Oryctolagus cuniculus: one gene and its partners. The protein of the gene in region 3 interacts with the protein of the main gene of each other region in a pairwise test. Links are inferred from orthologs where the notes say so. Each region holds a gene or a part of one and is shown on either strand. Other genes may lie near its edges. The genes, in order: TSGA10IP, METTL17 and CEP70.

The links.
Region 1: the proteins of CEP70 (region 3) and TSGA10IP interact in binary tests that used the Homo sapiens proteins (3 or more experiments, as listed by UniProt). The two-hybrid records come from large-scale screens. The link is inferred for Oryctolagus cuniculus from reciprocal best matches to the Homo sapiens genes CEP70 and TSGA10IP.
Region 2: the proteins of CEP70 (region 3) and METTL17 interact in binary tests that used the Homo sapiens proteins (3 or more experiments, as listed by UniProt). The link is inferred for Oryctolagus cuniculus from reciprocal best matches to the Homo sapiens genes CEP70 and METTL17.

The regions. Positions count from the first base shown.
Region 1 is NC_091432.1:5,831,778-5,835,521, reverse strand, and holds the start of TSGA10IP (testis-specific protein 10-interacting protein), read left to right. Parts: upstream 1-966; 5' UTR 967-1,033; coding exon 1,034-1,162; intron 1,163-2,183; coding exon 2,184-2,320; intron 2,321-2,421; coding exon 2,422-3,110; intron 3,111-3,210; coding exon 3,211-3,358; intron 3,359-3,744.
Region 2 is NC_091443.1:53,913,600-53,917,343, reverse strand, and holds the start of METTL17 (ribosome assembly protein METTL17, mitochondrial), read left to right. Parts: upstream 1-1,379; 5' UTR 1,380-1,456; coding exon 1,457-1,537; intron 1,538-1,690; coding exon 1,691-1,844; intron 1,845-1,933; coding exon 1,934-2,068; intron 2,069-3,162; coding exon 3,163-3,244; intron 3,245-3,468; coding exon 3,469-3,550; intron 3,551-3,744. UniProt on the Homo sapiens protein: Mitochondrial ribosome (mitoribosome) assembly factor. Binds at the interface of the head and body domains of the mitochondrial small ribosomal subunit (mt-SSU), occluding the mRNA channel and preventing compaction of the head domain towards the body.
Region 3 is NC_091435.1:143,186,571-143,190,314, reverse strand, and holds the start of CEP70 (centrosomal protein of 70 kDa), read right to left. Parts: upstream 2,411-3,744; 5' UTR 2,180-2,410; exon of another isoform or gene 1,248-2,179; intron 1-1,247.

The DNA of each region.
Region 1 (3,744 bases), on a different chromosome or scaffold from region 3:
CCCTGCACCTGCATGGGAGACCTGGAGGAAGCTCCTGGCTCCTGGCTTCATCAGTGCAGCTCTACCGTTGCGGCCAATTGGGGAGTGAACCATCGGATGGAGGACCTCTCTCTCTCTCTCTCTGTAACTCTGACTTTCGAATAAATAAGTAAATCTTTAAAAATTTTTTGTTTTATTTATTTGAAAGGCAGAGGGACAGAGAGGTCTTCCATCCACTAGTCCACTCCCCAGATGCCCGCAACAGCTGGGCTTGAGCCAGGCTGAAGTCAGGAGCCAGGTCTCCCGTGTGGGTGGCAGGGGCCAAGTCCCGGAGCCATCGCGGCTGCCTCCAGCCGCAGACCAGCAGGGAGCTGGATTGGAGGTGGAGCTGGGACGGGAACCCAGCAGACGCTCAGGTGATGGGAGCGTCTCAGGCAACCTGCCAGCCCCCTGCGCCACAGCGCCTGGCCGCTGTCCTCACCGCCGTGCAGCCCGCTTTCCCAAGCCTCGCCCTGTGATCGCGCAGCAGACCTCTGAGCCGGGCCCACGGCCCAGGTGCAGGAGCAGCAGTCACAGAGCCTGCAAGGCCGCTCCCGGGGGGCGGCGCGGGGGCCTTGTGGGGGTTCACATCCCAGGGCTTTGCTCGGCACTGCCGAGAAGGCTGGGGTCAGATTTCGGGGCCGAAATTCCTCCCAAGGCCTCCTCCCTGCAGCCTGCCTGGGCCTCCAGAGTGACCCAGTCCTGGGGTCCCTTTTGCGGATGGACGGGGAAACACAGGCCGAGGCTACGGCAGGAGAGCCGCTCACACAGGGTCCGTGGCGGCGGCGGGCTGTGGCACTGGTCCTGTGGGCCTCCAGGCCTGGGTCGCTCCTCAGCGTCCAGCTGAACTGTCCCCTGGCTGGCCGTGGTCCTCACCTACCCTGGAGGACCCCTCCCTGAGGTCCCTTTAGCCAGAGCGCTTGAGACGGGCTGGGAGCGGTTGCCGTGGAGATGGCCGGAAGGACAGTTCCACGCTGTGGTGGACGTGGGGGTGGGGACGGGACAGGACACCAACATGCTCCACACCCACCCACAGCTGGCCAGGCCCTCACCCGGGAGACCGGGCCAGGACCCTCGGTCTCAGGCTCCAGGGACGGCCACGAGGCTGCTTGACCTTCTGTCCAGCATCCCCCAGGCAGAGCAGGTGAGGGGCCCCGTGGGGGGGGACTTCCAACTGCCCAGAGGCAGGCGGGCACTGGGCTCAGGGGCCAGGACTGGACTGAGGCCCCAGGGGAGGGGTATGAGGGGGTGGAGGAGGGGCACAGGGTGACTTCGGGGTGACGGTGTGATCCAGGGGACATGGACCCCGCAGGAGAGACAGGTTTCCGGGATCGGACGGGACGTCAGAAGAGCTGTCCACTCGTTACACTGCTTCATCTGACGAGGTCTTTATTGCTTATTTAGTGTTCATTCTCTCAGTTTGTTCACTGATTTTTCAGTTTTAACTGAGATGGAATAATTGGGCGTGTTTCTGGGGCACACCTGGGCATCGGCACACCCACCCCTTAAACGGTCCTCATCCCTCTGCCTTGGGGACTCGTGAACTCCTCCTGGCTGGGGACAGATGGCACGGGGCTGGGTCCCGGCTCCACGGCTTCCCAGCCATGTGTGCTCACGGTGAGACCTGGGTCCCGGGCGTGGTTAGATGCGTTCTGCGAGAAAGGCCCGAGCAGGTGGCAGGAGCCTCATCAATGGCAGCCGTTGCTATTTTTTTCAAAGATTTATTTTATTTATTTGAGAGACAGAGTGACAGAGAAAGGTAGAGACACAGAAAGAGGTCTCCCATCCACTGGTTCACTCCCCAGATGGCCACAGTGTTCAGAGCTGCGCCGATCTGAAGCCAGGAGCCAGGAGCTTCTTCCAGGTCTCCCACATGGGTGCAGGGGCCCAAAGACTTGAGTCATCGCCCACTGCTTTCCCATTAGCGGAGAGCTGGATGGGAAGAGGAGCAGCCGGGACATGAACTGGCGCTCCTATGGGATGCCGGCGCTGCAAGGCAGGGGTTTAACCCACTGCGCCCCAGCCCCAGCCATTGCTAGTTCAATAGGAAGACTTGAGAGTGGTGATGGGTCTCAGAGGGGCCCAGTCAGGGTGTGCAGGGGAGGAGAAGGACTCCAGGGATGTGTAGAGGTGGCCTCCCCTCTCCCCACCCCGTCTTGGTCCAGGGGAACCCCAGGAGCGGCGAGGGCGCCCCGGTTCGCAGCCTGCTGCAGAGGTCTCAGAGCGCGAGGCAGACGTCCAAGAAGGACCACAGGCCCCGGCGGAGGAGCAAGAAAGCCCAGAGCTGCGCGGAGGCCGAGGAGTAAGGGGCAGGGGCGGGCTGGAGGGGGGCTGGCGGGTGGGCGTGGCTCGGACCCGGACCCGACCCTGACCCGACCCCCGCCCCGCCCTCTCCCTCTTCAGTGTCTTCGCTGCTCCCCGGAAACCTTCCTTCCCCTTCCAGTGGGCCTGGGAGAGCTTCATTACAAGTGCCTCCGCGGGGTCCCAGCCCAGCGGCCCCTCGGCCCCCGGCCCCCACGCCCCGCCCTTCCCCCAGCTCAGGTCCCGGCGCGGGTCCGTGGCCAGCCTCCCGGACGCCCTGGGCTTCTGCCAGAAGATGGAGGTGCAAAGCCCTGAGAGGAGGCAGCAGCAGCTGGGGGCCTGGAGCCCCTCGCCTCAGGGCAGAGGGGAGAACCCAGGGCTGGAGGTGCCCAGCGAGCGTGCCCTCTGGCCGACGGGGAAGCCGGCAGGACCCGCGCTGGAGTGGGAGGGGGAGGCCATGGGCGCCGAGGAGGAGCCCGAGAGGGACCTGAGCCCCCGCCAGCTGCCCCAGCTGCCCCGCAAGGGGCTGCTCTCCGAGGAGGACCAGTGCTCAGAAATGACGGAGGAGGACGAGGACGAGGAGCTCGGGGCCCCCCACAGGAGGAGGGCCGGGCCCCTGACAAAGGGGCAGCACCCTGGGGACCCGCAGAGCTGGAGCCAGAGCCGCAGGAGCAGCCCCAGCTCCGGCCACCTCCCCGGGGCCCAGAGGAGGAGGCGGAAGGCCCGGGAGCTGGAGGGGCCCTGGGACCTGGAGATGCTGCGTAGGCAGCTGCAGCAGAACCTGGACTGCGGTGAGCGAGCGCGGGGCTGAGCCCTGGGGCTGGGCTGGGGCTGGGCTGGCCCCCGCGGGCCGGGACGAGGGTGGGCCCTGATCTGGCCCCACCGAACCAGGCCCCCAGAGGCAGCCCTGGAAAGCTCTCCAGACCCCCGTCCAGGCCTCTGACCGCAGCGGGAAGGCACACGTGCTGGGAGATGACGAGACGTTCCCGTCTGCCAGCCTCCCCAATCGCACCTTCCACAAGCGACAGGAGGCCACCAGGTGCGGAGAAAGAGCGGGGAGGGCGGGGAGCCGGCAGGAGCCAGCTCTCCGGGAGCCCCCGGCCGTCCTCCCCGCCTTCGCCTCTTCATTCCCACCCTGTGTCCACCAGTCTTTCTGACAACCCAACCACCGTCGGCCATCCGTCGGCCCGCCCACCCACTGATGGCATCCAGTCAGCCACTCCCTCACCCATCTCTCTGTGAACTGTTTGTCCACACAGGCCGCTTTGCCTCCATCCCCTGCCTCGTCTTCCCGCCCTCCTTAACCCATGCATCGTGTGATTCACGCAACACAGACTGAGCACGCGCTCACGGGCCTCGGGGTTTGGAGATGGACTCTGGGCACCCAGGGCCCGGGAGAGAGGGCTTTGGGCAGTTATGTCCGTT
Region 2 (3,744 bases), on a different chromosome or scaffold from region 3:
GAAGAACTTCTACCCATCCTGTCACTAGACTTCTATCCCAGCAGAGTAAGGATGGACCTTTGCTACAGATATCAAGAGTTTACGGCACAGTAAGCTTTTTAGTGTTACATGCTAACACCTCCAAACACTTAGCATAAAGTTAACTAACTTGTGCCCCAACCACCAACAATATGGGGTATAGCATATTGTGTAAAAATGAAATCAGTGTTAAACTAGCTGTCACCTAACAAGATTTGTGATCTCAGGGGCCGGCACTATGGCACAGCGGGTTAAAGCCCTGGCCTGAAGCACCGGCATCCCATATGGGCCCCAGTTCTAGTACTGGTTGCTCCCCTTCCCATCCAGCTCTCTGCTATGCCCTGGGAAAGCCGTACAAGATGGCCCAAGTCCTTGGGCTCCTGAACGAACCCCTGTGGGAGACTCAGAAGAAGCTCCTGGATCCTGGCTTCAGATCGGGGCAGCTCTGACCGTTGCAGTCGTCTGGGGAATGAACCAGCGGATGGAAGACCTCCCTCTCAGCCTCTACCTCTCTCTGTAACTCTTTCAAATAAATAAAATAAATCTTTAAAAAAAATTGTGATCTTGCACATATTTAACCATTAGAAGTCTCACTTTCCTCAAGTGCAAAATGGGGCTGACAGCAGGATATGCCTTGGTAGGAACTAGATTACATAGAAGGATTTTCTTCCTTAATTTTGAAAATTTATTTTTAAACACAGAGAGAGAATCTCCTGTTGATTCACTCCTCAAATCCCAGCAACAGCAGGGGTGAAGCCAAGCCTAAGTCAGGGACTGGTCATTTAACCCGGGTCCCCTACGTGACAGGGACCCGAGGACTTGGGCCATCACCTGCTGCCTAGCAGGGTGTGCACCAGCAAGAAACTGGAATGCGGAACCCAGGAACTCTGATATGGGATGCTGACTTCCCAACAGACCCCAAGGAGAAGTTCCTAGCACATTACCTAGCATGTGGGCGTTCTCAGCAAGCGTTAGCGTTAGCTTATTGCTAACTGACGAGAAACTGACAACTAATTAAACTGTTAACTAAATTATTAATTTACTACCTTTAGTAGTTTAAATCTGGTTTCCTCACCTTTTCATTACTGCATTCTCCGGTTCACAGAGGAAAACAACTCCAGATTCAGTTCTACAGGGAGAAAAGCAACCAGATTTTGACAGCCGAAAGCCCGCCTCCGTCCCTCATGCCCCGCCCCCTCAATTTCGGGCTCTGCAGCACCCCCTTTCCGCCGATCAGGTCGGACCTGACTTCCAAGTCCCGCCCACGAACGGCTTCCGCCGCGAGTAGATTTACATATCGACTGCTTATTGGCTACTAATGAGCACTCCTTCTTCTCATTGGTTGATGCTGTCTCGAGCGAAATCCCGGAGGAAGTTCCGCGCGTCGTTGGGAGCTGAGGGTCACTTTCGTTTCTGTTTCCGGTTCGCCTGCGAAGGCATGGCGGCTGCGTCGGGAAAGAGGTTGCCCTCGATATTGGGCAGATGGCGCCGCGGGCTTCGAATGGCCCCCCAGTCCCGGGTGAGTACCTACTTTCTCTGCTCCCGAAGAAGCTCTGGGACCCTAGAGACAGCTGCGCTCCAAGAAGGAGCTGTTTGGCAGCCGCTTCCTTTAATTGAGAGCCCTCAGTCTTCCTTTGTGGCTGGCACCCAGCTTTCCTTTCTCGGCTTCCAGGCGCTGGCGGCCCTTGTTCGCGGCGTGAGTCAGGTAGATAACAAGTCCGATTTTCTGGGGAAGAAGCCTCACCGTCGGCACCCTGGCATCCTACGTCTGCCGTGCGTGCAACTGCCACAGGCACTGGCTGACGCCGCCCAGCTACTGCTACTCCGTAAGTAACGGCGGGAAAGGGGTATCCGAGGAGAAAAAGAAATGGGCCTTTGCACACAGGTAATTCTGCTTTTCATCTCTGGCCTCCAGAGAACGCAGTGCCCAATGTGGAGAAGCATGTGCAAGCACTGACCAATTATCTCTGGAGCCGACACTTGCCCGTAGAACCTGAGGAGCTACAAAGACGGGCTGTGAGTCTGGAGAAAAAGTTCCTGGAAAACGCAGGTAGGATTGAAGACTGATGAAAGATTAGGCCGGATTGAAACTGGGGAATGAAGTGCAAGAGATAATTTTACAGTCTCTCAAATAGATATTGGAGTTTCTTATTTGACTTTCCACCTTACTGGAAGATAGATTTGTTCCAGAGACTACCCTTGGGACGTGAGGAAGGGACAGAGTATGGCAATTGAAATCTGGATCCCAGTTGGGACCATCTACTTTTTTTTTTTTTTTTTTTTGACAGGCAGAGTGGATAGTGAGAAAGAGAGAGAGAAAGGTCTTCCTTTTGCCGTTGGTTCACCCTCCAACGGCCACTGTGGCCGGCGCACGGCGCTGATCCGAAGGCAGGAGCCAGGTGCTTCTCCTGGTCTCCCATGGGGTGCAGGGCCCAAGGACTTGGGCCATCCTCCACTGCACTCCTTGGCCACAGCAGAGAGCTGGCCTGGAAGAGGGGCAACCGGGACTAGAACCCGGTGTGCCGGCACCGCTAGGTGGAGGATTAGCCTATTGAGCCGCAGCGCTGGCCCATTCTTATTAAGGTGAAAGTCCCTGTAAAGTTAACTGCCTAATGCTGAAAACCTCTGGGATTGGAGAATACATGTAATATATTCACGGTTGTGAGCTCCTTCGTCTTACAGACCTTTTATTTATCTTGTGTCCCCTACACCCCCCACAATCTGGCTCTGAATGGGCATTTAGTACATACTTGCCAAACACAATAGAGTCCCTTTTCCACCTATAGGAACATTCAAGATGTCACAGTCTTAAGTTTTGGGGAAGTGAGGAAATCCACAAAATAATTGTCCTTCTCTTATCCTTTAAATCTAAATTGTATTTTCCTTTATTATAGAAAAAAATTTGTTGGGTAGGGTCAGTTAAGTTGAATATACTGCTGTTGGAGGCAAATACTATCTCATACACTCTAGGGGTGCTGGTGGTGATTATCCTTAGCTGAAATTTTTCTCTAGGTTTGGCTGCTTTCTTGAGCTTTGAGGCTTTTCCAGTGGGAGAGGGGAGAACCGGGAGGGCAGTGAATTAAATATTGGATCTGGTCTCTGTTCTCCTTAGGTCCTCACTTCCAGTCCTTGTTCTCACCGCAGACTCATCCCAGACAGAAGAAAAGCTTCGTGGAGCAGTGCTACATGCCCTGCGCAAAACCACCTACCATTGGCAAGAACTGAGGTGAGGGGGACTAGAAAACATGCAGAAGGAAGAAAAGTTGGACTTGAAAAGGAGAATGGAGCCGCACAATTGCATGATCAATGCAGTGTTTGAAAAAGTGCCTGAGTGATAGTGATCCCCAGGACCACTCTGCCCTGGGGAGTGAAAAGCTAAAGTGGAAGAGCCCTTTCCAAGATCTTATTTCCTCGCAATGGTCAGCAGGTGTGACTCTGATTTTTGTGCAGCTACAATGAAGGACTGAGCCTGGTGTATATGGCAGCGAGACTGGATGGTGGCTTCGCGGCAGTCTCCAGGGCATTCCATGAGGTGAAAAATCTGTGTCTAACTTGAACGCTCTTACCTGCTGTTCCCTTATTGATTCATAATGTAGTCTGTACGGTAGGGATTCTTAGGGTGCTGCGTAGGCTTTTATGCTTTGCTTTTTTTTTTTCTTTCTTTCTTAAAGTTCTCTTGTCCTGTAAAAGGATTCTGTGACCCAAGAAAGGTTCAGAACCACTATT
Region 3 (3,744 bases):
AGCGTCCATGGTGCCGGAAAGCCCTAAGCTGAAACTCCAACAGCCACAGTAAGCGCTGATGGCCTTCCTGGCTCACCATCATAAGCCTCCTCCCTCCTCTTCTCCCTTGTGGGTGATCCTGTGCCTGGCTGGAAGACTGCCTGCCTACCCCAAGCAGGAGGTTAGGAGGGCATGGCACACCATGCCTCCCGGGCACATTTCCCTGACCCCTGCTCCCAGGTGAAGGACCTTGTAAAGGGTCAAATAGGTAAACAACTCCTGGGTGTGCCCCAGACCCATAAGGACCACCTGGTAGGCTACTAGGCTATGTGACCTTCAAGCTGATTGGAGAAGCATAGTGGCGCCAATATCAGATCTATCCTATAGTGTTGCCCTGAATTAGCTACGCCCCCTCTGCCTGCCCTTTAAAAGCTTATGCTTCATCGTTAATAGACATGTTCACAGAAACTGGTCTTGAGTGCGTCTTGTCAAGAGCACCGTCACCAGTGCGGGCCTTGCAGGATCAGCCTACACCAGTCTGTGAAATAAACGTGGTGATAGTTTGCAGCAGCCTTTTCCCCACTGCAGGCTGTTAGAGGAGAAAAGTCCAGAACGCTGAAAGTCACAGAAGAGACTAAACTCTCCCTGGGGCAGAAGCGAGGCTGTAGCTCTACTCAGTGTCACAACACAACTAAAGGCAGGCTGTAGGAGTAAGGTTTGGGGGCTGAGAGTTGGTTTGCACTTGGCATACAGACAAGCAGGGGACAGGCATTTGGCTCAGCAGTTACCATACCTGCATCCCACAGCAGAGTGCCCAGGTTCACGTGCTGGCTTTCCTACCTATGCCAGCTTCTTGCTAGCACACACACACTGGGAGGCAGCAGGTTCTAGCTCAAGTATCAGGTCCCTGGTACGCAAGCAGAACACCTGAACTGAGTACCTGACTCCCAGCCCCAAGTGTTGCGAATATTTGGGAGTGAACCGGCTGATGAAAACTGTTTCTCTGCCTTTCAAATAAATAAAGTGAAAATAAATTAAAAAAAAACCATTAAAAAAATAGCCAAACACAGAAAAGCAAAAACACAGTTGTATCTTCCAGCACTGTCCAGGTTTCCCAACAATCTTTTGGGTCAAATGGTCCCTTATAATATAGCCTAACATGCATCAAACCTTAAAAAACTTATTTTTCTCGCCATTTGGGGGGCGGGGGGAAGAGAGCTGGAAATAACAGATCATGGCCAGTAATTTCTTTCTCAAGTGAGTCATACCGAAAATCTATAAACTTTCTCCGAAGGACGTATTCCAAATCACTCCAACAAATGAACACGCACGGCTTTCCAAGTCTGTGTTCTCCATGAAATGCAAACTAGTCCGAAGATAGGCCAACGTTCCAAAGGACGAACTGAATCCACCACCATTGGGCCCGGACGTCACCTCAACCAAACCATCCTGTGCCGGCGAGGTTACAAGGAGGGCCAGAACACCCTCCTCCCCCGCTCTGAAGCAACCCCGTCAGTGAAACTCCAAATCAGCCGCCTCGTACCCAAAAAGCGGAGCGGAGGCGGCCTGCTCTGCTTGGCAATACTCAAAGTAAAAACAAAAACAAATGCACGCAGAGGGCTGAGACCAACACGGGCAGTGGCTGCACGGCGTCAAACATTATGATGAGAAACCCTTGCTGACTGGTCTGTTACAAGCGTTACTGTTACAAGTGCCTCAGCTCGGGGGATTTTTCACCCTTTAAGAATCACATGAGGCTCCACGTGAAGTCAGAATCCCCTGCGCACCCCGGATCCAGAATGCGCCCGACAACCGGAGAAGGCGGGCTACGCGCCTCCGTGTGTCCCCGGCACCCTCCGCCGACACCTGCCCCACTCCGGGACGCCGAGGGCCGCGGCGGTCAGCGCCCGTCCGCCCTTCGCCGACTCGGCCAGGGTCTAGTCTGATCTAGCCGGGTCCGAGTCTGAGCTCCGCACTGCCTGCCTCGTCTAGCCCCCACAGCCGCCCTGGAAGGCAGCAGACTGCACACAGGAGCAAACGGAGACGCCGAAGACCACAAAGGCTGGGGGGCCGGGGCTCGAAGCAGGTTTAACCAATCCCCAAACCCTCACACAGCCTGCTGGAGCCGGTCCCAGCCCGCTCCACCCGGGGCGCCCGGCAACGCTCGGCGCCCACAGGCCGAGTCCCGAGCGCCACTCACCTTCCTCGGCCGCCCGGCCCGGCCCGGCCCGGCCCTGCCTGGCTCCGCTCCACCGCCTCCGGCCCCGCCTCCGCGACCGTTACCGACGCCAGTGGAGGTTGGCCAATCGAGCCCGAGCGGGTCGAGGTCAAACCTCTGCTCTGCCTCGGAACTTTCTGAGCGATTATCTCCGGCCTCTCGAGGAGGCTGGGTCCGCCGCGCGCCCCCTGGTTGGCTCCGGCTGCTGGGGGCGGGGCTTACCACCACCGCGGGCTGTCATAGGCCCGCTGACGTTTCAGTCGCGCTCTACGGCCTCTCGCTGGCTGGGGCTCTCGCTTACGGAGGGCCTCGGTTCCCCAGGAGATTTCAGATATGCAAATATGTGGCCGCAGGTGAAAATGAGGCTCGGAGCACCTGGCCACTGCGCAGGACCCTCGCCAGGACCGCGAGCTCCTGCTGGGGGAGCAGCCGGCGTGTCGAAGCTCCGGACCTGGGGGAGCCTCGGAGCGGCTGGCGTTTCACCCTCCCTTTGGGCGTTTTCCCGGTGGCCACGAAGTGTCTGGCCCTACATCGGGCTCCGTAAAATGCAGAGATGTGGACGCTGAGGGACAACGGTGGTTTTCCAGGGCCCTGTAGAGACTGGGTCTTGGGCTGCGTAGCATCTGGCAATCAGGGCTCACACTTGGTTTTCCAGTCAGTGTGGCCGTGGGATCCCAGGTGTCTCGTGGCTTTGTGGCGGGATTTTTGTGTGATTTCGCCCCCCCCTCTTTTTTTAATGGAAGCTATTCCTGCGCTGCAGTAAACTTTCTGAAGCCTCAGGCTTGTGTTTGAACCATCAGAAAGGTCTCCAGCTAGAAACACTAGTTCCGGCTTGCCCCTTCTCCCTGTCATTCTCCTTGGAATCCCAGGGCCAAAATTTGGAGATGTCTTGAGTTCTTCTGTTCATGGTGTTTATTCACGGTGACCAATCGACTTCCTTGCCAGACTTTTTTTTTTTTTTTTTTTTTTTTTTTACAGGCAGAGTGGACAGTGAGACAGAGAGAAAGGTCTTCCTTTGCCGTTGGTTCACCCTCCAATGGCCGCCGTGGCCGGCGCACCGCGCTGATCCAATGGCAGGAGCCAGGTACTTATCCTGGTCTCCCATGGGGTGCAGGGCCCAAGCACTTGGGCCATCCTCCACTGCACTCCCTGGCCACAGCAGAGAGCTGGCCTGGAAGAGGGGCAACCGGGACAGAATCCGGCGCCCCGACCTGGACTAGAACCCGCTGTGCTGGCGCTGCAAGGCGGAGGATTAGCCTAGTGAGCCGTGGCGTCGGCCCCCTTGCCAGACTTTTAAAAAAGAAAATCACCTGGGGAGCTTGGGAAACTCCGGATGCAGGGGCCGCCAGACAATCACACCAGGATCTCCAGGTGGGGACCCAGGCATCCAGAGTTTGTAAAGCTCCCCAGGTGATTCCGATGTGCAAGTGTTGTACCGATTCCCACCAGTGAAGACCACCAGGAGCCGACACTCATGCAAACGCAAGAGTTTAATTTCAAACTCAAGTTTGGTTGGACATCTGCACCAGGCGCAGCTGGGCTGGATC